Linked DNA regions of Arabidopsis thaliana. The protein of the gene in region 3 interacts with the protein of the main gene of each other region in a pairwise test. Each region holds a gene or a part of one and is shown on either strand. Other genes may lie near its edges. The genes, in order: HSFA9, HB24, EIL2 and BBX17.

Region 1 (5,902 bases), about 15 Mb from region 3:
GGAGTTCATCTCAAGTTTGGATATTGAGGTTTGTTTATAAGGATCTTGTTTTAGCTACCAACAGATTCTCAGCCCAGAGGAAGCTTGGTGAAGGAGGGTTTGGGGCAGTTTATAGATGGTACTTGAACGAAATAGATATGATGGTTGCTGTGAAGAAATTGTCTGGTGGTTCCAAGCAGTGAAAGAAAGAGTTTGTAACCGAAGTTAAGATCATTAGCAAACTGCGTCATCGAAACCTGGTGCAGCCCATTGTGTTGGTGTAATGAAAAAGATGAGTATTTGCTTATATAGGAGTTCATGCCGAATGGTAGCTTGGACACTCACCTCTTTGAGAAAAGACCCCTTATCTCACCTAGGACACACAGATCTTCACGGAGAGGGAGATCGGTGTGTGTTGCATAGGGACATCAAGGCAAGCAATATCATGTTGGACATCAATTTCAATGTAAAAGTAGGTGACTTTGGGCTGGCTCGATTGATGGACCATGAACTAGGCTCACATACAATAGCGCTAGCAGGAAATTACATAATTGTCAAAGACTTTTGTCTGTGTGTGGACATGTGTAGGGCAAGTGAACCACGTTTTATTGAAATTCAAATTCAAGATAATCCAATCAAGTTTGACAAAAGAGAAACAAAAAGATAGGGCAAAAAAAGCCAGCACTTAACTAGGATATGAAATCCAAAACATAAATAGTCAAAAACAGAAAAGAAGATAGGTGCAAGCGAGCTACACTGGAATCATTAATGGAAGTACTGAATACTGAAAATTCAAAACAACGAACTTGTTGTCCAAGTGACTCCAGTAGAGTTTCAGAACATCGCCTTCTGAGAGATCTAACGAATGCTTCATAGTACTCCAACCAGTACCGAAATAATATTTAGGTTTATCGATACCTGATACTTTGAGCGTAACTGTGTATAAGTCGTCTTCCATTATGTCGTCGACTTGCACTTCAACACCGTTTAGCAAATCTTGGTCGTTAACATTCATCCTCGTGAGGACAGACATCACTTCTGCTTTCGGTAATACCACATTACCAACGATATCACTCTTTGATAGCACTTTTGTTATGATCATAGCCGGTTCCAATGGATCGTTGTAATTCATCTTGCTTAATTTTTTTTATATTTCTTACGTTCTCTATTCAAACATATATATAGGAGATTTAGCCTAAGAAAAAAGGTAAAATACAAAAGAGAAAAAATCAGAACTCTTTTTGAAACAAATTAGAAAATTGTCTAAATATCTAGATTTCTCTTAATATGGAATTGGAAAGTAAACTTTTTGCAAAATATTAGATTTAGATAACTTTCACTTGGTAAATTGAGAATAAAGTTTTGTGCAAATTATTGATTTAGATCATTTCCATTTCTATTCTCAATCTCTTTTTGAGCGTTCCAACCAATTACATTGCTGCCCCGAACCAATATAATATTTACAATAGTATCATAGCCGGCTCCAATGGATCGTTGTAATCCATTATGGACCGCCCAACTTCAGCCCACAAAAGAAATTGTCCACACGAAAACGCTCAATAATCTATAAACGGACCATTTGACATATTTAAGTGTTTTGCAAGCCCAAAGTAATCATATTCACTCAACAAAAAGTATAAAAAATCTGAAATTTAATTTAGGTCGTTGCTAAGCTTGTTGTAGGGTACGTACGTTTGGGAGCATTTTAATTAGAATAAGATTAGAAATTTAGAATAGTTTTAATCCTCCGAAACTTTTTGTAGTACGGACTTTTGGGAGCATTTTTATGAGTCGTGCCAATCTTGCAAAAGGACCCATGCAGAGCAACAAATTTGGTTGTGGCATGTCGGTTAGGTAGCCCAAAAGCTTCATTTTATATTAGTTATAAACTTTGCTGTTATATAGTTAGTAAAGTTTAGTCAGTAAAGTAGACTGTTACTTCTTTTAGTACTTTGAATACATCTTATTTACTACAATGTTAACAGTCAACATGGTATAAATTCTATTCCATGTTTTGTTTCAAAGGTTGACATAACGGACGAATTTTAAAATGTAACTATTGTAATAAACAGTAATGAGTATTAACTTGAGTTACTCTATACAATTGTTTGTTTCTTGTGATAACCAAAGCCATCACAATCAAACATTTCACTCTTAAAACAAGGAAACAGTAAGTGCAATGGAAGGTAGGATCCAAGTGCTTCTCTCGCAACGATTGTTTGGTTGATTCTCGTAAAAATGTGAGTATATGAAAGAGGAAGTTAGACCGATGCAATGGTTGCAATGTGAGCATAGTCGAATTTCACCTGCCATGGTGTTTCTTCCTTTTTCATCTTCCCACCGGATTCACTCAAGGCTCGTCGTTTAATCCATTATCGCCTATGTAACCGTCGCTTCTTCACCTGCGGCCACAACCAATGCAACCGCTATAACAAGTTTGTTTTTGATCTCTTTATCGACCATTAAGTCTCTTTATATATTCCTTAAAACTCTATATTGCATTTTGATTTTCTAGTGCGTATAACATTGACGTTACAGTAAAAATTTCTAGTTTTAATATTCACAAGCATGGCTGCTATTTCAATTCAATATAAGTTTTATCATCGTCTACAATAATATATGAATTTTATCATCATATAGAAGAATAACAGAGCTCTGATCACAGACTCACAGCCCTGTAACTCTAGCTAACAAAATTATCTTTTAACTCTCTTCTTTATTAAAAAAAAAGCACTTGCATAGTAGCATTTTAACTGATGTATATGCTTTCCCTAAGCGACACTTGTCCTCATGCATGAAATCAAATTCAATGGACGACCGATTCATCTTGACCGACCACAAAGATCCAACGGCTAGCTGGAGATATACAGGTGTTAATAAATTGTTATATTCCAAAAAAATGGGTTATAATGTGGCAGCTTTTTGATAGTAACACTGATGTATTTCTTACAATAAACGACCAAAAAGTTAATACAAGAAATAGAAACGGTGTAGGAAGCTACTATGACGGCAATTCCAAACGTCGTCGATATTGAATCTTCTTCCTCTTCGCTTTGTCAAGAGACGGCAACGGAGACCGTCACCGTTGAAAGAGGCTCGTCTGATTCATCTTCAAAGCCAGACGACGTCGTTTTACTAATCAAGGAAGAGGAGGATGACGCCGTTAACTTGTCACTTGGTTTTTGGAAATTGCACGAGATAGGTTTAATAACACCGTTCTTGAGAAAGACGTTTGAGATCGTCGATGACAAAGTAACAGACCCGGTTGTATCATGGAGCCCGACCCGTAAAAGCTTTATCATTTGGGATTCTTACGAGTTCTCAGAGAATCTACTTCCCAAATACTTCAAGCACAAGAACTTCTCCAGTTTTATTCGTCAGCTTAACTCTTACGTAAGCACAGAACAAGTTTTTACTCTTTAGCTATGTTTCTTGCTTTACAAGCTTTGTAAAAACTAGAGTTTTTTTGTAGGGTTTTAAAAAGGTCGATTCAGATAGGTGGGAATTTGCTAACGAAGGGTTTCAAGGAGGGAAGAAACATTTGCTTAAGAACATCAAGAGGAGAAGCAAAAACACTAAATGTTGTAACAAGGAAGCGAGTACCACCACGACAGAGACTGAGGTTGAGTCATTGAAGGAGGAACAGAGTCCAATGAGATTGGAGATGTTGAAGCTGAAACAACAACAAGAAGAATCTCAACATCAGATGGTCACTGTGCAGGAGAAGATCCACGGAGTTGATACCGAACAACAGCATATGCTTAGTTTCTTTGCAAAGTTGGCTAAAGATCAAAGATTTGTAGAGAGACTGGTGAAGAAGAGAAAGATGAAAATACAGAGAGAGCTAGAAGCAGCTGAATTCGTGAAGAAGCTCAAGTTGCTTCAGGATCAAGAAACTCAAAAGAACTTGTTAGATGTAGAAAGAGAATTTATGGCCATGGCTGCAACAGAACACAATCCCGAGCCTGACATTTTGGTGAACAATCAAAGCGGGAATACGAGATGTCAGCTTAACTCAGAGGACCTACTTGTTGACGGTGGCTCAATGGATGTAAATGGGAGGATAGAGATAGAGTAGAGCAAAACCGGTAACATAGCAATAGAGAAGGTACCAAATCCCAAGGCTTGAGATCCGAATCCGTAGCGCTTTGTTGTATGGTTTCATGTGTATATAAGCGAAAGGGACTTGTAAAAAGCGACTCAAGGACTTGTAAAAAAGTGTAGCTCTAGTGAAAAGGGACTTGTAAAAAAGTGTAGCTCTGGTTAACTGTTGCCATCGCCTTCCATTACTAATAATTTTTTAACTAGCGAGTAGTGACTTGTAGCATAAAATAGAAGAAATTCATTCAAAGTTTTGAGGGTGAAAAAATAAAAGAACCTGTCAGACCGCCGTGCGACCACCCCGGCAAGGTAGAACCGAGCCGAGTAACGATCCTCTACAGCACCGGATGCGTCCGAGGACGATCGTAGCCGTCAATCACGCTCTAGCCGCACGGTCATGGTTCATCAACCAGGGTTAAGGGCCTGTCTCTTGAGAAATCAAGGAAACAGAGGTACGAGCCTATAGAACAGATCCTGTTCAAGTAAGGTCGTGACCAATGGTGCTTTGTAGCCATATATAAAGCAGTTATTTCTTCACTCGCTTACCGATGTGGGACGCAAAATTCGTAAGAAAAAAGAAATCATAAGCTTATGGGCCTAATTGTATACAAAACCCATATATGTTCAAGCCCAATAGTTAGAGATTATGGTTTTGTTAGGAAAAAGAGTTTTAAATTCAGACGTCATTTCTTCTTCCTCTTTGATCAGTATGCCACGTCATCATCATTCCTCCACGTTATTAAATATATGTATCGATCATCGTCTCTCTCTTTAACAAGCTCCTCTCTCTGATGTGAAGAAGCCATGGAAGAGAAGAAGAAGGAGCTTGAAGAGTTGAAGTATCAATCAGGTTTTGGTAACCACTTCTCATCGGAAGCAATCGCCGGAGCTTTACCGTTAGATCAGAACAGTCCTCTTCTTTGTCCTTACGGTCTTTACGCCGAACAGATCTCCGGTACTTCTTTCACTTCTCCTCGCAAGCTCAATCAAAGAAGGTACATCATCATTTCAATTGTAAGTTTTGGATAATTTCGTTGAATTGATTGATCTTCATCTTGTTTTTTTTTTCAGTTGGTTGTACCGGGTTAAACCATCGGTTACACATGAACCGTTCAAGCCTCGTGTACCAGCTCATAAGAAGCTTGTGAGTGAGTTTGATGCATCAAATAGTCGTACGAATCCGACTCAGCTTCGGTGGAGACCTGAGGATATTCCTGATTCGGAGATTGATTTCGTTGATGGGTTATTTACCATTTGTGGAGCTGGAAGCTCGTTTCTTCGCCATGGCTTCGCTATTCACATGTAAAAAACTCTTCTTTTTATTTTGGTATCTTTGGTGTAGATCAGTGATACATAAAGTAATGATCTTTTGTATTCATTTTGTTTTGAAGGTATGTGGCTAACACAGGAATGAAAGACTCCGCATTTTGCAACGCTGATGGTGACTTCTTGTTAGTTCCTCAAACAGGAAGTAAGTTAGTAGTCCCAATGCCTTACCTTACCACATCTTTGGGAAATAAAGTCAGTCATGTATTGAGAATGGATTCAAGATAGTCTTGGATCAGTTCTGATAGTTTGAGTGGGTGTTTTAGGGCTATGGATTGAAACTGAGTGTGGAAGGCTTTTGGTAACTCCTGGTGAGATTGCTGTTATACCACAAGGTTTCCGTTTCTCCATAGATTTACCGGATGGGAAGTCTCGTGGTTATGTTGCTGAAATCTATGGGGCTCATTTTCAGCTTCCTGATCTTGGACCAATAGGTACTCTTGAGTTCTTTTAGATTCAGCCGGAATAACATGGATTCTCCGCAAGAATCTTATTG
Region 2 (5,564 bases), on a different chromosome or scaffold from region 3:
TAACATCATGAATTTTTATTTTTGTGCATTATGTGTTTTACATCTGTAATGAGTTATAATCACAAGGATTAATCAAGGAGAAAAACTTTCAAGATGGAACTTTCCACTCATTTTGATTAGCATATGACTTTTTGCTTTTAAAGATTTTTTTTTAATAGATTCTTGTGCTTTGTATTCACTATTCAACATAGTTTCTTCTTAAATGTCATGTCATCCAAAAATAAAAGAATTAGCACTTTAATTGTTTAATCAATTTGTTATTTTAGTTCTTACTTAAATTGAAATAATATCATTAATTGTAAAAATAATATCATTAATATAACATATTATTTTATGTTTAAGTAAAAATCTAGCACTTTAATTGTTTAATCAACAAACTATTAGCTAGTTTTTTAAAATTTATAAGTCTATTTTTAGATATAAATTTCTTGTTGTAATATATTGCTATAATCTAAAAAGGAAATTGGCCTCTATATGATGAGCTATGATTAGAAAATAACATGTTATTTATTTATTTTGTATGAAACATTTTGAACAAAAAGATTTTTAATCATTTTTTGAATGACAGAAGTCATTCCTATTATTTTCTTCAAAATTTATGTTCCTCCTTACTGTATTTTTTTGGTATTTTTTTGTCTGGTCCAATGTTCCTCCTTACTATTTTTTTTTATAAAAAGAATCACTAAATTACTCGACCAAATCATAAAATGTTATTAAATGAAACATAAAAAAATATGTTATATCAATAAAAATAATAATTTCTACTAATTGTAAAATAGATTATCATTACATATATATAAATATATAATCATATTAAATAGATATCAGTAATATACTTCAAAACAATTATACTTAAGTTTCAAATGAGGCTTTGTTTCCTTTATAATCCTCCCTTTTCAATTTATTAAGATTTTGTGTCTGTTTTTTTCACATTTAAAAAATGAAAGAAGCCTAAGTTTTATTTATTTTTCATAGGATGTTATGAATTTTTTTGTATAATGATAAATGTTATATTTAAAAAAGTACAATGATAGAATGATATATACTAGTTTCTTAGATGATAGTTGTAAACTTTAGAATATTATTATTTTCCTCTCTCCTAAACTTTGATTTTTTTTTCTTCTAAAAAAGGCATTATTAGAAATTAAGAATCTCAAAATGTTAGTAATTCTTTTTCTTCACGAAGTACTAGTATTGTTTATTGTAAAAAAAATCAAGTTAGATTTCCCCGAACGTGTGGCCGCGAGGAACAGCATATGGGATGAGATATGTCGCACATGAGAAATGCATATAGTTACATGTATCTAGACTGACCATTCAATTTAAATATAATTGTTCAACTAACTAAACAAATGATAATAATCCTGTATGTCATCAACGAATCATAATCATTATCCAGCACTAAAATCCTTTTTTTGTTCTTCTATCATGGTCTACTGATCTTTTGGCTCCATTTTGGAGAAATCAACCGTAACTAAAAGTATATATATATATATATATATATATATATATATATATATATATATCTTGGTTTGAAGATTTAGTTTTAGTTTTATATGTCAAGTAGAACATCATTCGTCCACTTTCTGTTCTTTTTTTTTGTTTTGATTTTATATTTATTCTTCTAAACCATAATTCTCATCCATTAGATACTTATTTTGAATATCTTAACAATAAATATTGTTATTTTAATGTAACTTACACTAAAATGAAAAATTTAATATTAAATATAAATTGACAAGTGGAAGAAAAGCCTATTAAGAATTTTTTTCATAAGTTTTTATATATTAAAAGTCCGGTAAAAGCTCTCCAGTTTTTCCCAAAAAAATAAAATGAAATAAAGCTCTCCAATGAGAATTGTGTAAGGATTGCATTATGAAACACAAATCCGGTCAAAACACTGTCGATTACTCCATTTTTTTTATTTATTGTATGTTTTCATAACTTTAAACATTAAGGGTGTGTACGGAAAAAAACATTAAGAATGTGATTGGTTACTCTAATTAGCGCAAAATAAAAGAGTTGAGAAAAAATTCTGCCCAAATCATCTTATTTTGGTTGTCTGAATTTTAAAAATCAGATCAAAGTAGATAAGAGACCATACCATATATTACAAATATTTCGACCAATTCGATTTTCGCTTATTTTACAAACAATATTTTGGTTATCTTATTTATTTTACAAAGTAAATGTTCATAAGGTATTCAATCTTTCATTTTATTTTACAAACAATATTTAATGCATGCACCATAATATGTTGCACTGATCGTACTAAACCTACTTACATCGCTAATTTTACGCTAAGCCACAGACACTAATCTCATCAACTATACTAATTGTTGACATTCGACTTAATTAACACAAGATAATTTTATCATTACTCAACATTAAAAACCAATAAAAGAAAGATGTATTGCGACCAATGTGCGGACACTGTATGATAGAGAAACAACGTGGCACTGTCTGCTACAAGTCCACATCTTACTTTCTCTCTCCATCTCTTGTTTCTTAGTGGACTGTGTTATTATTATTATTGGCACAGACCAAACCCACTTGGCTCCTTCATTAGATTTTTTTTCTCTCTCGGAAATTGATGGGCAATAGGAAACACGATTCTCTAATTCTCTCTCTAGAAGGACCAATAGTGTCTTCTTCTCTCCTCTTTTCTCTTTCTCCATTAGTAACGACCTAAACTTTATTTTCTTTTCTTGATCTCTTCTTAAATGGGGTTAGATAAGTTTTCCCCTTTAATTTAGTTGCTTGTAGACTTGAGATTAGTCTAGTAGGTTTTGGTGGGCTATCACTAATACAAAAGTCAAAGTCAAAATTTTTAAAAAGGTTTCAACTTTGGAAGAGATATTTATCATCTTCATTTTCTCTATAGGTTTATGAGAAGCTAAAGCTATGATGATTTCTTTAATCAAAATAGCTTAGGGTTTTGGAGAGAGATTACTAAGAAAGTTTTAATGTTTGTTTAAGAGAAAAGTTATATATTAGGGTTTTCTTTATTCAGAAGCTTCAAGATCAGAAAAGATGGAAGTTAGAGAGAAGAAAGATGAGAAAATGGAGATGACAAGAAGAAAATCATCAGCTCTAGATCATCATCGTCTTCCTCCGTACACTTACTCCCAAACCGCCAACAAAGAGAAACCCACCACCAAAAGAAACGGGTCGGACCCGGATCCGGATCCGGATCTTGATACTAACCCAATTTCTATATCTCATGCTCCAAGATCATACGCTAGGCCTCAAACTACTTCTCCGGGGAAGGCAAGGTATAGAGAATGCCAAAAGAATCACGCGGCGAGCTCCGGTGGACACGTTGTCGACGGTTGCGGCGAGTTTATGTCTTCCGGGGAAGAAGGCACGGTGGAGTCTCTTCTTTGTGCAGCTTGTGATTGCCACCGGAGCTTCCATAGAAAAGAGATCGATGGTTTGTTTGTTGTCAATTTCAATAGCTTTGGCCATTCACAGAGACCACTCGGAAGCCGCCACGTGTCTCCGATAATGATGAGTTTTGGTGGTGGTGGTGGTTGTGCGGCGGAGTCATCGACGGAGGATCTAAACAAGTTTCATCAATCTTTTAGTGGTTATGGAGTGGATCAGTTTCATCATTATCAACCCAAGAAACGGTTTAGGACAAAGTTTAATGAAGAACAGAAGGAGAAGATGATGGAGTTTGCTGAGAAGATTGGTTGGAGAATGACAAAACTAGAAGATGATGAAGTGAATCGGTTTTGTCGTGAGATTAAAGTTAAAAGACAAGTGTTTAAAGTTTGGATGCACAACAATAAACAAGCAGCAAAGAAGAAGGATTTGTAAGAGATTTCTATATATATATATATACTATTTTTACTTCTCTTTGTTCAACATTGCTTTAACTTAAAGACTTTGTGTTTATTGTATAACAAATTGATTTTAGAGCTCAGCATAACGGTCTCTTATTTCTCCCGCAACTTGAGAAGCCTTTTTCTTTGCGGTTTCATAAGCATATTTTGTGGATTCTTTGGCTACACCGTACTTTTCGCCGACTTTTTCCATGGCTTCTTCAAATCCTCTAGTTGCTCCATCTTTGGCATTGTGTGATTTGTCTTTCATGTAGTCAATAGAATCATCCATTGCTTCTCCTGCCGTGTCTTTGGCACTCTTTGACTTTTCTTTGGCTCCTTCATAGGCTTCACCGCTCTTATCCGTTGCCATCCTAATCACATCACCGGCCTTGTCGTATCCGTAACCCGCCTTGTCATATGCAAAGTCTTTTGCATCTTGGGCCTTTTCGTAAGCTATGTCTTTTGCATTGCCAGCCTTCTTGTAGGCGTAGTCTTTGGCCTCACCAGCTTTCTCATAACCAGAATCCTTTGCCTTCTGCGCACTGCCATAAGCAGATCCCACCTTATCATAGGCCATGTCCTTGGCATTGCCCGCCTTATCATAGGCCATATCCTTGGCAATGCCAGCCTTCTCATAAGCCACGTCCTTTGCATCCCCCGCTTTATCATATGCCATGTCTTTTACTATGCCTGCCTTCTCATAGGCCATGTCCTTGGCATCACCGGCCTTATCATAACCAGAGTCCATCATACTCTGTGCACTTCCGTAAGCAGATCCCACTTTATCATATGTGAAATCCTTTATGTGTTCCGCCTTCTCGTAGGCCATGTCCTTCGCATTTCCCGCCTTCTCATATGCCATATCCTTTGCATTGCCTGCCTTATCATAGGCAACATCCTTCGCGTAGCCTCCCTTATCATAGGCGAAATCCTTTGCATATCCCGCTGTCTCGTAGGCCATGTCCTTAGCATTGCCTGCCTTATCATAGGCGAAATCTTTGGCATGGCCCGCTTTCTCATAAGCCATGTCCTTTGCATCACCAGCCTTGTCATATGCAAAATCCTTAGCATAGCCCGCATTTTCGTATGCCATGTTCTTTGCATCACCAGCCTTGTCATAAGCGAAATCCTTTGCGTACTCTGCCTTGTTCTCAGCAAAATCCTTGGCGTAACCTGCATTGTCGTAAGCAGAGTCCTTGACGTAATTTGCCTTGTCATAAGCATAGTTTTCCGCGGCTTGAGCCGCTTTTCTTGCTTCATCTTTAGATTTTTGATAAATTCCTGTTTCTTCTTTCTTAGTACCAAATCCACTGGGAAAAGAAGTAAAACGTTACCTCTCAATCACTCACTTAACTACGGCCAAATACATGCGTAAATATCCAATGTAGTGAACGAATCTAAAGATTCCAATAAAAAACGCAATAAGACATTACTAATCTCACTAAACACGTACTTAACATCCAAATGAGAGAAAGTATAGACTGAATTGGATCAACGTGATGGTTACGTAAAGGACAGATTCAACCACAGGTGTGTTTCAGTTTCGGATATTAGATATCACTTACGTGGTGATTTTGTCGGAGACCCAACCAGCCCATGAACCGGTCTTTTCCTTCGCCGTCGACTCTAACCATTTCCCCAATACACCCTCTTGCCACGTCAACACCACCACTACCACAAACAATACCAATGCCGTTCTTCTTCTCTCCATCATCTCTTTAACCAGTGATTCCG
Region 3 (6,305 bases):
GTGGCACTTGTTTACTTTCCTATTGGCTATTTGGTTATATTCATTGCACCTCTTCTACATTTTCTCTAAGAAAACATTATATTATCATATTAAGAAATAAATACTAAAAACATCATGCTGGTATTGTTTTTCTTTGATTTGAAATAGGTTTTATACCCTATAATATATAGTTGTACTATATACCGTATCTCATTTGAACTTAAAATCAAATATGATATTTAGATAACTAGTTGACATTTCTAAAGGATAACCAAAATAAAATAAAACGAAAGTATTACCTGTTTCATTACCCACACGTTGACCGTTATACAAACAGTTATAGATAATATATCATCATAATTAAAGGTCAACATTTCATGATTTATTAAGTAGTTTATATAACATTTTGCAATGAGAAACCCGACAATTTATAGTATGGCGCCAAGATTACGAAATCTCAAATACCTATCTTTTAATGGGAGAGTTTTAAAATCGAAAAACGAATATTTGATGAGAGTTTTATTTTATTTTTTGAGTCGTGCATTACAAATATCACTGTGAAAAATGTTGATCGATTTACATAAGAATCATAATCGTCCATTGGATATATAGACAATGTGATTTAGAAGGTTATATATTTGTTTGTCTAAAGAAAAAATAATATCTTCAATTATATGACACAGTTTACAATTCAGCATAGAAAACAATACAATAAGCTACAAAGGATTGTTTTAAATAGATTTTAAAACACCATATTATCATCTTTAAATTTTGGCTTCTTGAGATGGTCTGGATAAATAGAAAATTATTAAAATAAAAAACATTGTTAACTACTAATTTTATATTAAAAATACATTTATGGAATGCTTAAAGGAAAATGGGGAAATATATATAGACAGTAATACTAGAAACCAATCTGTTGGTCAAATATTTAGAGCCAGTATCCAAAGGGATTGAATGTATATTAGTATATATAAGATATCATAAATTCATAGAGAATACAAAATTCACAATTCTTAATACAAAATACTTACCTATATGAAACTTTTCAATTTTAATGCTATGAGCTTGTGCAATTTAAAAGGCTCTTATATCTAGCATATACTAATATAATGCAAAAACAAAAATGGTAAACTAAGTATTTTTATTCTATTCTAAAGAATGTCAAATTGTATGCTTTTAAATGTTTAAACAAAAATCATGGAAATTTGGTATTTTGTAAGAAATTGAAAGCGCCACAATTCTGAGCTATTTTAAGGAATTCTTCAATAATTTTGTTTTTTTAGCATTATCATATATGTATCAGAATTAATTAGTGAGTACTGGCAACATTTTTTCCCTTTTCTTTCATACTCTGCCAGCTTTTGTATTTAAAACTATGATATTTTTTTCTATATCATATTATGTGATTTGTTTACATTTTCAAAGCAAAATGTAATAATTTCTATATATTTTATGACAATGTGCATTTTTTACTTTATTTTTATTGGTTGGACTGTGATTAGATAAATCATAAAATATCTTTTGATTTAGTAAAATAAAGAAAATCATTAATTTCTTAATATGGAAAAATTTAAACGTTTTTATTTTGATACAAAGAGAGTAATTATTTTGTAAGTCTTTGGGCATGATAAGTTTTTAGTATTCAGGACTTGGTAGAACTACAAGAATCTCATTTAAATTCCATTGTAAAAACTAATTGATAAAACTAATACAAGTAAATTAGTATAAATAGGTTGTATTTTGTTTTTTTTAAAGTATAAATAGATCGTACGGAACTACTTACTGTTTTACTATTTGTTTATCTAGACCGATATATTTAGATACAGCTCCCCATGAAATTAAATGCATTAACAAATTTTAAAATTCAAACATACGCACCAATTAATTTAAAGCTATTATTTAAATATTTTATAAAAAAAAAATTACATGCTACGATTTTATACCATTAAAATAGTAAATTTACGTGCCTTAGAAAATGTCTATATTTGGTACTTGATTCCTATTTGTTTTCAAAAATACTCGCTTTATGTTTAGGGGTTATATTTTTCCCGCTTAAGCATACATCTACATTTGATATTTTTCTTATAGTAGACATGATTATATTTTTTATATTGATATTAATAATTTTAGGCTATCAAACAAAAAATAATTTAGGCAGAAATAACCATTTTATGGGCATGTTAATTTTTCTTTTTTTTAAAAGAAGTGACTATATATTTAAATAAAGAATCTGAACTAGAAATGGAATGAAACTCAAAGGAGATAAATAAGAAATTTTTACCATATCCTTACACAAAGAAATGTGTCGTTTAGCATGGTTTTTACAGGCCTATTATCACCACCCTTTCGCAGTCTCTTCTTATTTAATGCTCATAATATATATAGATACACAAACATACATACATACATGTCTCTATCTCTTCTCTCTCTCTGAAGGTCCCAATAGCTTCTTTGGTTTGAATTTGGTGGCCGAAGCAACACAAAGGTCTCAAGAGTTTTCTGGGTATATTCTCTTCTTCCTTCGATTTCTCTTTATTTTTGTTTTTGTTTTGTTTTGCTTTTACGTATATTGTCTGCTTGCAAATATTGTTTTTTGACTTGTTGGGTTTGGTCTATCTGATATTTTGTCCGATGGGTTCCATTTTCACTTTTGCAAGATCAAGTATTTCAGTAGTAATACGGACTGGATTGTTTTGTCGTTATATGCTTTGATAAGAATCAAAAGAAAGAAAAAGATCGATGCTTTTACTGTATAATCATTTGATGATAAACCATTAATCTTGTTTGTGATTTTCTTTTACCTTCTCTAAATATTTCTCCTATATTATGTACTTAATCTCTTTGGTAGTAGTTTTCCTATAGTATTTATTCAATCCCTTGGGAGTAATAACTAATGGAATTTGGATCTCTAAATCTTTGTGTTATTCATATGATGAATCTTATTTCACAAGTTAGATCTCTCGATCTTTCACTAAAAGTCTCTGTTTTTTTCTTTTGTGTTATGTTATTGCTAGAGAGTTTTAATTTAGATTTTGATAAATACGGCATTACTAAATGACGATGATTATGCAATTTTATTCTTAAAGTGAATCATAGTTGATGACATTATTTGCAGATTCTATGGATATGTATAACAACAATATAGGGATGTTCCGGAGTTTAGTTTGTAGCTCGGCGCCTCCATTTACAGAGGGACATATGTGTTCTGATTCGCATACGGCTTTGTGCGATGATCTGAGTAGTGATGAGGAAATGGAAATAGAGGAGCTTGAGAAGAAGATCTGGAGAGACAAGCAGCGTTTAAAGCGGCTCAAGGAAATGGCGAAGAACGGTCTAGGAACAAGATTGTTGTTGAAGCAGCAACATGATGATTTTCCAGAGCACTCTAGTAAGAGAACCATGTACAAGGCACAAGATGGGATCTTGAAGTACATGTCGAAGACAATGGAGCGATATAAAGCTCAAGGTTTTGTTTATGGGATTGTGTTAGAGAATGGGAAAACGGTAGCGGGATCTTCTGATAATCTCCGTGAATGGTGGAAAGACAAAGTGAGGTTTGATAGGAACGGCCCAGCTGCTATAATCAAGCACCAAAGGGATATCAATCTTTCTGATGGAAGTGATTCAGGGTCTGAGGTTGGGGATTCTACCGCACAGAAGTTGCTTGAGCTTCAAGATACTACTCTTGGAGCTCTGTTATCGGCTCTGTTTCCTCACTGCAACCCTCCTCAGAGGCGGTTTCCGTTGGAGAAAGGCGTGACACCGCCATGGTGGCCAACGGGGAAAGAAGATTGGTGGGATCAACTGTCTTTACCCGTTGATTTTCGAGGTGTTCCGCCACCTTACAAGAAGCCTCATGATCTCAAGAAGCTGTGGAAAATTGGTGTTTTGATTGGTGTAATCAGACATATGGCTTCTGACATTAGCAACATACCCAATCTCGTGAGACGGTCTAGAAGTTTGCAGGAGAAAATGACGTCAAGAGAAGGCGCTTTATGGCTCGCTGCTCTTTACCGAGAAAAGGCTATTGTTGATCAAATAGCCATGTCTAGAGAAAACAACAACACTTCTAACTTTCTTGTTCCTGCAACCGGTGGAGACCCAGATGTTTTGTTTCCTGAATCTACAGACTATGATGTTGAACTGATTGGTGGCACTCATCGGACCAATCAGCAGTATCCTGAATTTGAAAACAACTACAACTGTGTTTACAAGAGAAAGTTTGAAGAAGATTTTGGGATGCCAATGCATCCAACACTCCTAACATGTGAGAACAGTCTCTGTCCTTATAGCCAACCACATATGGGATTTCTTGACAGGAACTTAAGAGAGAATCACCAAATGACTTGTCCTTATAAAGTCACTTCCTTCTACCAACCAACTAAACCCTATGGTATGACGGGTTTAATGGTTCCTTGTCCGGATTATAACGGGATGCAGCAGCAGGTTCAGAGCTTTCAAGACCAGTTTAATCATCCCAACGATCTCTACAGACCAAAAGCTCCACAAAGAGGCAACGATGACTTGGTTGAGGATTTGAATCCTTCTCCTTCGACGCTGAATCAGAATCTTGGTTTAGTCTTACCTACTGACTTCAATGGAGGTGAGGAAACAGTAGGAACAGAGAACAATCTGCATAATCAAGGGCAAGAGTTGCCCACATCTTGGATTCAGTAAAGAAAGCTTCAGAGTTTTCTTTTTATGTTTTCTAGTCTTTATAGCTTTGTCTCTTGCTTATTCTCTCATTAAACACAGTTTTTGATCTCTCCATTTCATAGCCCATGTAGCAATGGAGAAGATTAGGTTTCATAATAAGTTAATAACCAAATTCAAAGTAATTCATTATGTGATTTGAAGAGCCTCTCTTTTTGACAAAAGAACAGTAGAAAATGCTTTATTTGTTTAGACTTTAGAGGTGTGTATTTGTGTTCGCCTTGGGCTTCAAGGAAGAAGGCGTTTGTAGACATTTTTAATATTAAATAATTTAAACTTTGTTGGTATGATAATATTTTTATTTATGTCTTTTTATTATGTCTTTTTATAGGGAATTGTTTTCTATAAATAACAGATTTTTTATGTGTTAAATTAATTTTGTGCCTTTAAAAGAGATTAATGGTTAAAAGATGTATTTCTATATAAATCTCAAATTGAAAAATCAAATAAACTAAGTTTGACGATATGCTATTTTAAAGTTAATATGAATAATTTCAGAAATATTTAAATGATATTTCGCATATTAAATTCATAAAATAAAACTATGTGAAGACCTTACTATATAAAACTATACCTTTTTCGGCAAATCAAATACTTATATTATAAAGAGTTTACAAGAAATATAAATATTTCCAATACAACCGTTGATACAAATAAAGAAAATCGAAACAATTGATTATAAAAGAAAAAAATTCAATGTATTGCTATAATTCACTATAATGATCATATTTACTTTTTTGAATCTAATGTTAAATTATATTCAAAAAAAAAATGTTCGTTGTACAATTTAGTGGTTCGTGAGTTTGAAAATAAATTTTAAAAAGATCTAAAAGAGTAAAAAAAAAAACGCTTGTAAAAGAGCAGCTTGGTTTGGTGACCTCAGGAGCTTAAACTCTAGCAAGGATCCATGCTTGATACGCTTTGTCGTACCGTCTATCTCCTCTTGTTCGAATGGTGGAAATATGAATACAAATTTGTTTATAAATCCATTTTGTGATAAGAGCCCCCGGATGTGGTTCCTTTTTGTGCCTTCTTCCATTCCTCTCCTTTCAAATTGTATAGACAGTGGTTTGTAGAGCATAGCGAGACAGATAGCTCTCCGCTCTACTTTGCTTTGGTTCGATACATAATCCAAGACTTGAGCCCAGTCGGTTCTGTACTGATTTTGAAGATGCCCTTTGTTATTGCCTCCCATATCGTCTCCCATATAATGATCACATCACTCATCTACAAATTTGTATTTATTCAAATGATCAAATCCTTACCGGTTTTTTCTTACCACTATTCCATTCCATGCTAGGATTGGCTGCATCCTCTCATTTCAGTCAAGTTAAGCTCTTTTGTCTATTACTTTATTTCATTCATTTTCTTCTTCAATATTTTTTTTTTTTTTTTTTTTTTTCTTCTTCAATTTTTTTTCTTGGCAAAAATGTTTTACATTGACCAATTTTTACATTCCGTATATTCTATTAAAACTTTCCATTCAAGGTTCCTCCAATTTCTTTCTCCATCTGTACTAATGGAAAATTTAATAGATAATCAACAAAATAATATATACTCATTAAATAATTGTTATTAAAAGAATCTCCAAAATGATATTTGGACGATAT
Region 4 (6,724 bases), on a different chromosome or scaffold from region 3:
GTCCTCTGATTATTGCCCACGATCCGATGATGAGGCAAACCCGACCGTAGCTGCAACAACAGAAGATCAAGAAGCAGAGAAACCAGGAAGCTTGGAGGAAGAAGAAGAAGATGAGAGGTTAAAAGAGGAGTTAGAAAAGATAGAAGAACGGTTCAGAGAAGAGATGAAAGAGATAACGAGGAAAAGAGAAGAAGCAACAATGGAGACCAAAAATAGATTTTTCGAGAAGAAGATGCAACAAGTTGAGTAAAGTAAACAACAGAGCAACACTCTGGTTTTGGATTCCTCTGTTTTGCTTTTCTGTTTTTCCATGTTTTATTATTTTAGTTTTGGTCAAAGAGAAAAAAGCTTTTGTTGTTTACTTGTTTCATTGCAAGTGTAGAAAGTTTCCTCCATAAAAAAAATAGAAAGTATTTTCTAATGGTAATTGGGATTTACATTATATAAAGCACTAATTGCTGAGATAAAACCATTCATCAGGTATATATGTAAAACTATTCTCGAGATAAAACAAGAAAGTGAATACACAATTTTCTTGCCTCTATTCATAAGAAATAAACCTGTTTTCATTGTGTTTATTTAACACCAAAAGCACTCAAAATTGAGGCTTAACATTCAGACAAACCGTAACTATAGAACATAAGAAAAACCTAACTATTGAAGAGGTTGCATTATATCACAAGTTTAAAACACCAAAGCTCAAGCTGAGTAGCAAAAATAGGTCTCTTCTTCCGCCACCAAAACCTCAACAGGAACGTCTACAAAAGCCTTGACCGCCACAACGACCACCGGAAAAACGACCACCGACGAAAAGACCACGACCACCACCAGGACCAAAGACAGGAGTACCAAAACGGCTATAAGGTTCCTCATCAGAAGATGATCCATCCACAGACATGCTCTCTGCCTGGGCTTTACAGAGCCAATTTTAACTTCATTATTTGACCTAAACAATGAGATCAACAGATCCATCTTCTCTTCCATTTTATGAAGACGAATACCAAATCCTTCCAACATCTCCATCGCATCAGATATTTTCATCTCAGTCGTCATGTCTTTCTTATCTTTCTCCAAATTGTCTGTAGGCGTCGTGTCCTTAATCACAGAAGGAGATGCTTCAGCTTTGGTTGCGGATTTATTGTCCATGGAGAAGATGATTAGTAGAACAACGCACTAGAGCTAGGTTAAAAGAGAGAAATTGGAGATCGGCAAAAACCCCTAATCAGCTGCTTAGGAAGAAAGGTATTTATAAGAGTCTTTTATATTCTGGCTTGGGGCACAAGAGTCCTTTCCTTTTATTTTATTTACTTTTCCCGTTGTTCATTTTTTCAACTAAGCAAGCTTTATCTGGGCCGAGGTGAGGCCCATTAATTGAATTAAAAGCCCAAAATAACAACAAAACATTACCTGATTGTCGGAAAATCAGACGGAAACAAAAGAAATCAAAAATCCGATGGGGAGGAAGAAGGGATTGCCGGAGTTCGAAGAGTCGGCGCCGGATGGATTCGATCCTGAGAATCCGTACAAGGATCCGGTTGCGATGGTGGAGATGAGAGAACACATTGTTCGTGAGAAATGGATCCATATCGAGAAGGCTAAGATCTTACGTGAGAAGGTCAAATGGTGTTACCGCGTCGAAGGCGTTAACCATTACCAGAAGTGTCGTCATCTTGTTCAGCAGTATCTCGATGCCACTCGCGGCGTTGGTTGGGGCAAAGACCACCGTCCTATCTCTCTTCACGGTGAGTTTTTTTCCCGGCGTTCTCTCTCACACTGGTGAAAATGCTTAGATTGAAATTCTTAGGGTTTCGTGTTTTTTTCCTTAGCCTTTGAATTTTGAATTCAGTTACTCTTTAGTGTGTTTGATTGAATTTGATTTGAATTTGATGTAGAGTGGTCTCAAAATTCTTCATGAATACCTTTGTGAAATTGATTCTTCCTTTAGATATATGTATTGAATTTTTTTTGTTTGTATTGATTTTGTCAAACCAGGTCCTAAGCCAGTAGCTGTTGAAGAAGCTGAATGATGTTGTGTGCGTGATTGATCTTTGGTAAGTAACTGGTGTTGATTAGTTATATAGTGTGTATTGCTTAGAAGAGGAGAAAGGTTAGACTTTCTAGCATGCTTTGTGTAGACACTATCTTATAACTGGACATGTTATGTGAATCTGTTTGTGGTAGGAGAAAATTGGAATATGGATGTTTGGATAGTTATATGTATGAACTGATCAGGTCTTAGAGTGACTTAGTTTTGCGGAAGTTGTGGATACACTGGTTAATTATTGATATCAATCTGACTGCAATCACAAAGGTTAAAGCTTAGTCATGGACTTTCTTCGGTGGTTTTAGAAACAGGACATGTTTTGGAATGTATAGAAATGAAATTGATAGATCTTGGAGTGACTCAATTTTGGAGACATATGGGCCGATATTATAGATACCAATCCGCTTGCAATTGCGTCCATCTTTAATCTGCAACAGAGCTAAACCTAGTCACAGAATTTCATTGATGAATTAATTATTTGAGATATGAGATGTTGTGGACTGTATGAAGAAGGATAGAGCTCCAACATTTAGGTTTTGATTGGTTTAAACAATAGTTCCAATAGGGTTAAGGCATATAGTCAAAATCTCAAGTTCAAATTGGATTGATGATTTTTGTATTTGGTTCAAAGATTTTAAAGGTTTTTTCTTGCTCCAATGACACAGGTGAGTGAGAGCTTTGATTACCATACATGAATGGAGTCTCTGTTGCAAGTTAATGCTCCACATCAAGGTTGTTACTTGATTTATGCTTTTCTGTTTCGTAAAACATATATTACTAATTGGACTTGGGAGTTCCAATTGGTTAAGCTCAGCTTCGTTTTTCAAATGATTTATATATATTTTTGGCTTGTTGTACATTGCGTCCCTGTTTGTCGAAATAATGAAATTCCCAAGTACCTTTTTGCATGCTTGCAACTTAGTATATGTTTTTAAGACTTTATCTGATAAAACTAAGAAAGAGTTAACTCTAAAAACATCATACTTTCCCTTTATTTCAAAACTGTAGGAACATCTTTACTTCTTTAGTGTTGTCTAAATGGATTCATTTCTGAAATAGTTCATGAAATTTTTATTAACCTTTAAGTAGTAGTTCAAACATCTACGGAGTCTATTACCATATGTTAAATGGTGACAAAGACAGGTAAGGACCACAGACAAAATGAGTCAGAAAACAAAAGACTAACAAACAAAAAGATAAAACTTAGAGATGGGTAAGGAAAAGAAGCCATAAAAGACCCAAAAACATAATCCAAGTCTAACCAATAAGATCGCAAAGATATGGATCAACTTCGGTACATGATGCCAAATCATCACTACAGTGTCTTTTTTCCTTGTACAACCCAACCAAAAATGGGTATGGCCAAACTTCAATAATACACCAAGTGTTTACTCATCTCAAATTTTACTACCTTTTCTTAAGACTAATCTACTCTATATAAGTATGTTCACTAACCCTTAATGTTAAGATTCAAGAATATTAAACATGTATAGAACAAGACTCAAGGAAACTTGAGCTAAAAAGTCATTTCTAGTCCCTACTGACATAAGAAAGAAGTGTCAGTGAAAAAATCTTCTAGATTCTAAAGGAAAATGTCTTTGTCTGATCCCAACGAAAAAGATTATTATATACCTACCTAAGCAGGCTCCTTTGTCAGTGCCCATTATTCTCCATCCCTCTTAGCCCTTGTCTTCTTCATTGTCCCCTTTTTCTCACTTTAAGATCTTTCTTGTTCTTAGCCCATGACAAGTCACCAAAATATCAAAATTTCAGAAAGTATATAACCATTACTCTACTGTTTCCTGATAAACCTCCTTTTGTGCCAGTTTCTTCTTCTACTTTGATTTCTTCTCATATCTCTGTTTTCATGTTTTGCGCAGAAATTATGATTTCAAAGTACCAAGAAGATGTCAAGCAGCCACGAGCTTGCGAACTTTGTCTGAACAAACACGCAGTTTGGTACTGTGCCTCCGATGATGCTTTCTTGTGCCATGTTTGTGATGAATCAGTGCATTCTGCAAACCATGTAGCGACAAAACACGAGAGAGTTTGTCTTAGAACAAACGAGATATCGAATGATGTGCGTGGGGGAACAACATTAACCTCGGTTTGGCACAGCGGGTTTCGAAGAAAAGCAAGAACTCCTAGATCTCGGTATGAGAAAAAGCCACAACAAAAGATAGATGATGAGAGAAGAAGGGAAGATCCTCGTGTTCCCGAGATTGGAGGCGAAGTGATGTTTTTCATACCAGAAGCAAATGATGATGATATGACTTCTCTTGTGCCAGAGTTTGAGGGATTCACAGAGATGGGATTCTTCTTGAGCAACCACAATGGTACTGAAGAAACAACGAAACAATTCAACTTTGAAGAAGAAGCTGACACAATGGAGGATCTATATTACAATGGAGAAGAAGAAGATAAAACTGATGGAGCTGAAGCATGTCCTGGACAATATTTGATGAGCTGCAAGAAAGATTACGACAATGTCATAACGGTTTCAGAAAAGACAGAAGAAATTGAAGATTGTTATGAGAATAATGCAAGGCATAGACTGAATTACGAAAATGTTATAGCAGCTTGGGATAAACAAGAATCTCCTAGAGATGTAAAAAACAACACAAGTAGCTTCCAGCTAGTTCCTCCAGTAAGCGCCTAATCTTCCGAGTTCTTACAAAAATGATATTATATTGTTTCAAATTGAGAAAATTGAACCCAATCTATCAAAGAAACTTATTGTAATGGTTGTTGATTGCAGGGGATAGAGGAGAAGAGAGTAAGAAGTGAGAGAGAAGCTAGAGTTTGGAGATACAGAGATAAAAGGAAGAATCGTTTGTTCGAGAAGAAGATAAGGTACGAGGTTAGAAAGGTTAACGCCGACAAAAGGCCGAGAATGAAAGGTCGATTTGTCCGACGATCTTTAGCCATCGACTCTTAGGGAACAGATTCTCTCAGTTTCTTCTCCTTTGTGCCAAATAAAAAAAAGGCTACTCCAAAGAAACCAGAAGCTAATCAAAAGAACAAAAAAGCTCATGTGGAACATATTTCGTAGCTTTTGAATTTATCCCTACAATGACATGGTTACAACTTTATTCTTAAATCAATTTGAGAATTTAAATTTCATACTAGTAAAAGCTTCTCTTATGAGGTAAATCTCTTTATATAAGCAGTTAGTTACAAAAACCAAAACGAATTACAAACAACTTGTAACTCAAAGATTTGTAGTTTTGTACTAATACCGTTGGCCGTGTCAAGAAAGTATTCATAAAAACTTATCGATCCAATCAGTAGTACCATTAAACCAACTAAAATCATCATCCTCTGGATCTCCTAATAATCCAAGATCATCCATAGGAAAATCTTCTAACTTAAAATCATCTATCAACGGATCAAAATCAAGTAAATCATCGACGAATAAGTCCCCATTGGTCGATACGATTTTGGCATGTTGATTAACTTTAGTGTGATCCCCAATCTTAAATCCAAATGTTTTCTCCTTTCCTACTCTATCATTCTCCACAAAATCAAACTTGAAATCATCTACAATGGAAATAAATTCCACTGAATTGTAATCCACCCAAATATCATTTGCTTCAACAGCCGAATCACCAAAAATATCAGCAATTGACGATGTCATCAACGGATCTTCCAACATTTTACTAATCACTCCCTCTTCTTCATGATCAGCGTTATAACCACAACCAAATGGCTTCTGATCAGTAACAATTCTCTTATTTACCTTTTTGCAATTCGACTTCTCAGTAACTTCCTTCTCTTCTGGTTTACGTACACCGCACGGCTTGGTCAAATCTACTAGGTCTTTTTCCTGTTTAACTAAACCCAATCGTTCATCAAACTCTCTTTTACTCTTTTGGTAAGCTTCTGCTGCTTCTTCTTCAGTAGGAAACGTTCCAAGCCACTTTCTCTTCTTCTCAAACGGATTTCTTATCTCCGCCGCAAATTTCCCCCACGGCCTCCGTCGTACGCCTTTGAAACCCGACGACGTTTTCCGGTTTCCGGCTGCTTTATTCCCTGTAGAATTCGAAACGTTCTCATACCTTTTGATCAGCGTCGGGACACAGATCTTTGAGACGTAACGTTTCGGTGGTTTTGGTTTGATCTGACGGCGAGGATTATTGCCGGAGATAGATTCATCGTCGCTAGAGGAATCGGTGGCGTCTGGATCATTACAGATTACACTAATTGTTTTAATCAAGTTGAGATCGATGTTCTCTTCTCTGAAACTGATCATTGTTCTCTCTCCGACTAAACTCCGGTACTAAGTAACAGAATCTTACAATAAAAACCAAAAAAAAAACAATGTAGTGTTTTGAGTTGGTGATAGAGATAGAGATTAAAAACCTAAACATGGGAGAAAAACTTGAACAGAAAACATAGTTAAGATTCATCATCGTACCTTGTTATGGAGAGTGTGTCAAAAATAAAATTCAAGGAGCTTATGGCAAAGCTAAGGAAGACGAAACATAGAAGACGTTATTAATAGTTTATGAGAATTGTTTTGTTTTCCTTTTTAATTTTTGTTTAGATATAATCATAAAAGTAAAATCTGTAGTAAATATTAACGAGGATATCGGTAACTACCATATCTAAATTTACCATTTTTTTTTTTTTGTGATAGAAAAAGAAAGTTAATATTTTAGTAGGAAAAAATGGAAAATT

Evidence for each region.
Region 1: the proteins of EIL2 (region 3) and HSFA9 interact in a two-hybrid assay, tested with the Arabidopsis thaliana proteins (one large-scale study listed by BioGRID).
Region 2: the proteins of EIL2 (region 3) and HB24 interact in a two-hybrid assay, tested with the Arabidopsis thaliana proteins (one large-scale study listed by BioGRID).
Region 4: the proteins of EIL2 (region 3) and BBX17 interact in a two-hybrid assay, tested with the Arabidopsis thaliana proteins (one large-scale study listed by BioGRID).

The regions. Positions count from the first base shown.
Region 1 is NC_003076.8:21,941,036-21,946,937, forward strand, and holds HSFA9 (heat shock transcription factor A9), read left to right. Parts: upstream 1-2,947; 5' UTR 2,948-2,982; coding exon 2,983-3,372; intron 3,373-3,451; coding exon 3,452-4,057; 3' UTR 4,058-4,389; exon of another isoform or gene 4,390-4,467; 3' UTR 4,468-4,616; downstream 4,617-5,902. Other genes in the region: AT5G54067 (B3 domain protein), read right to left, coding at 731-1,111; HGO (homogentisate 1,2-dioxygenase), read left to right, coding at 4,885-5,075, 5,152-5,382, 5,472-5,551, 5,673-5,840.
Region 2 is NC_003071.7:7,969,380-7,974,943, reverse strand, and holds HB24 (homeobox protein 24), read left to right. Parts: upstream 1-2,862; 5' UTR 2,863-3,033; coding exon 3,034-3,822; 3' UTR 3,823-3,918; downstream 3,919-5,564. Other genes in the region: AT2G18340 (late embryogenesis abundant domain-containing protein / LEA domain-containing protein), read right to left, coding at 3,919-5,140, 5,396-5,544. UniProt on the Arabidopsis thaliana protein: Putative transcription factor.
Region 3 is NC_003076.8:7,179,527-7,185,831, forward strand, and holds EIL2 (ETHYLENE-INSENSITIVE3-like 2), read left to right. Parts: upstream 1-3,062; 5' UTR 3,063-3,081; coding exon 3,082-4,659; 3' UTR 4,660-4,816; downstream 4,817-6,305. Other genes in the region: AT5G21125 (uncharacterized protein), read right to left, coding at 5,522-5,902. UniProt on the Arabidopsis thaliana protein: Probable transcription factor acting as a positive regulator in the ethylene response pathway. Could bind the primary ethylene response element present in the ETHYLENE-RESPONSE-FACTOR1 promoter.
Region 4 is NC_003070.9:18,172,999-18,179,722, reverse strand, and holds BBX17 (B-box type zinc finger protein with CCT domain-containing protein), read left to right. Parts: upstream 1-3,333; 5' UTR 3,334-3,786; coding exon 3,787-3,820; exon of another isoform or gene 3,821-3,911; coding exon of another isoform or gene 3,912-3,924; coding exon 3,925-4,691; intron 4,692-4,802; coding exon 4,803-4,982; 3' UTR 4,983-5,306; downstream 5,307-6,724. Other genes in the region: WNK7 (Protein kinase superfamily protein), read left to right, coding at 1-250; AT1G49150 (uncharacterized protein), read right to left, coding at 700-1,146; AT1G49140 (NADH dehydrogenase ubiquinone 1 beta subcomplex subunit 10-B-like protein (Complex I subunit NDUFS6)), read left to right, coding at 1,454-1,742, 1,993-2,027; CRF9 (Integrase-type DNA-binding superfamily protein), read right to left, coding at 5,307-6,296.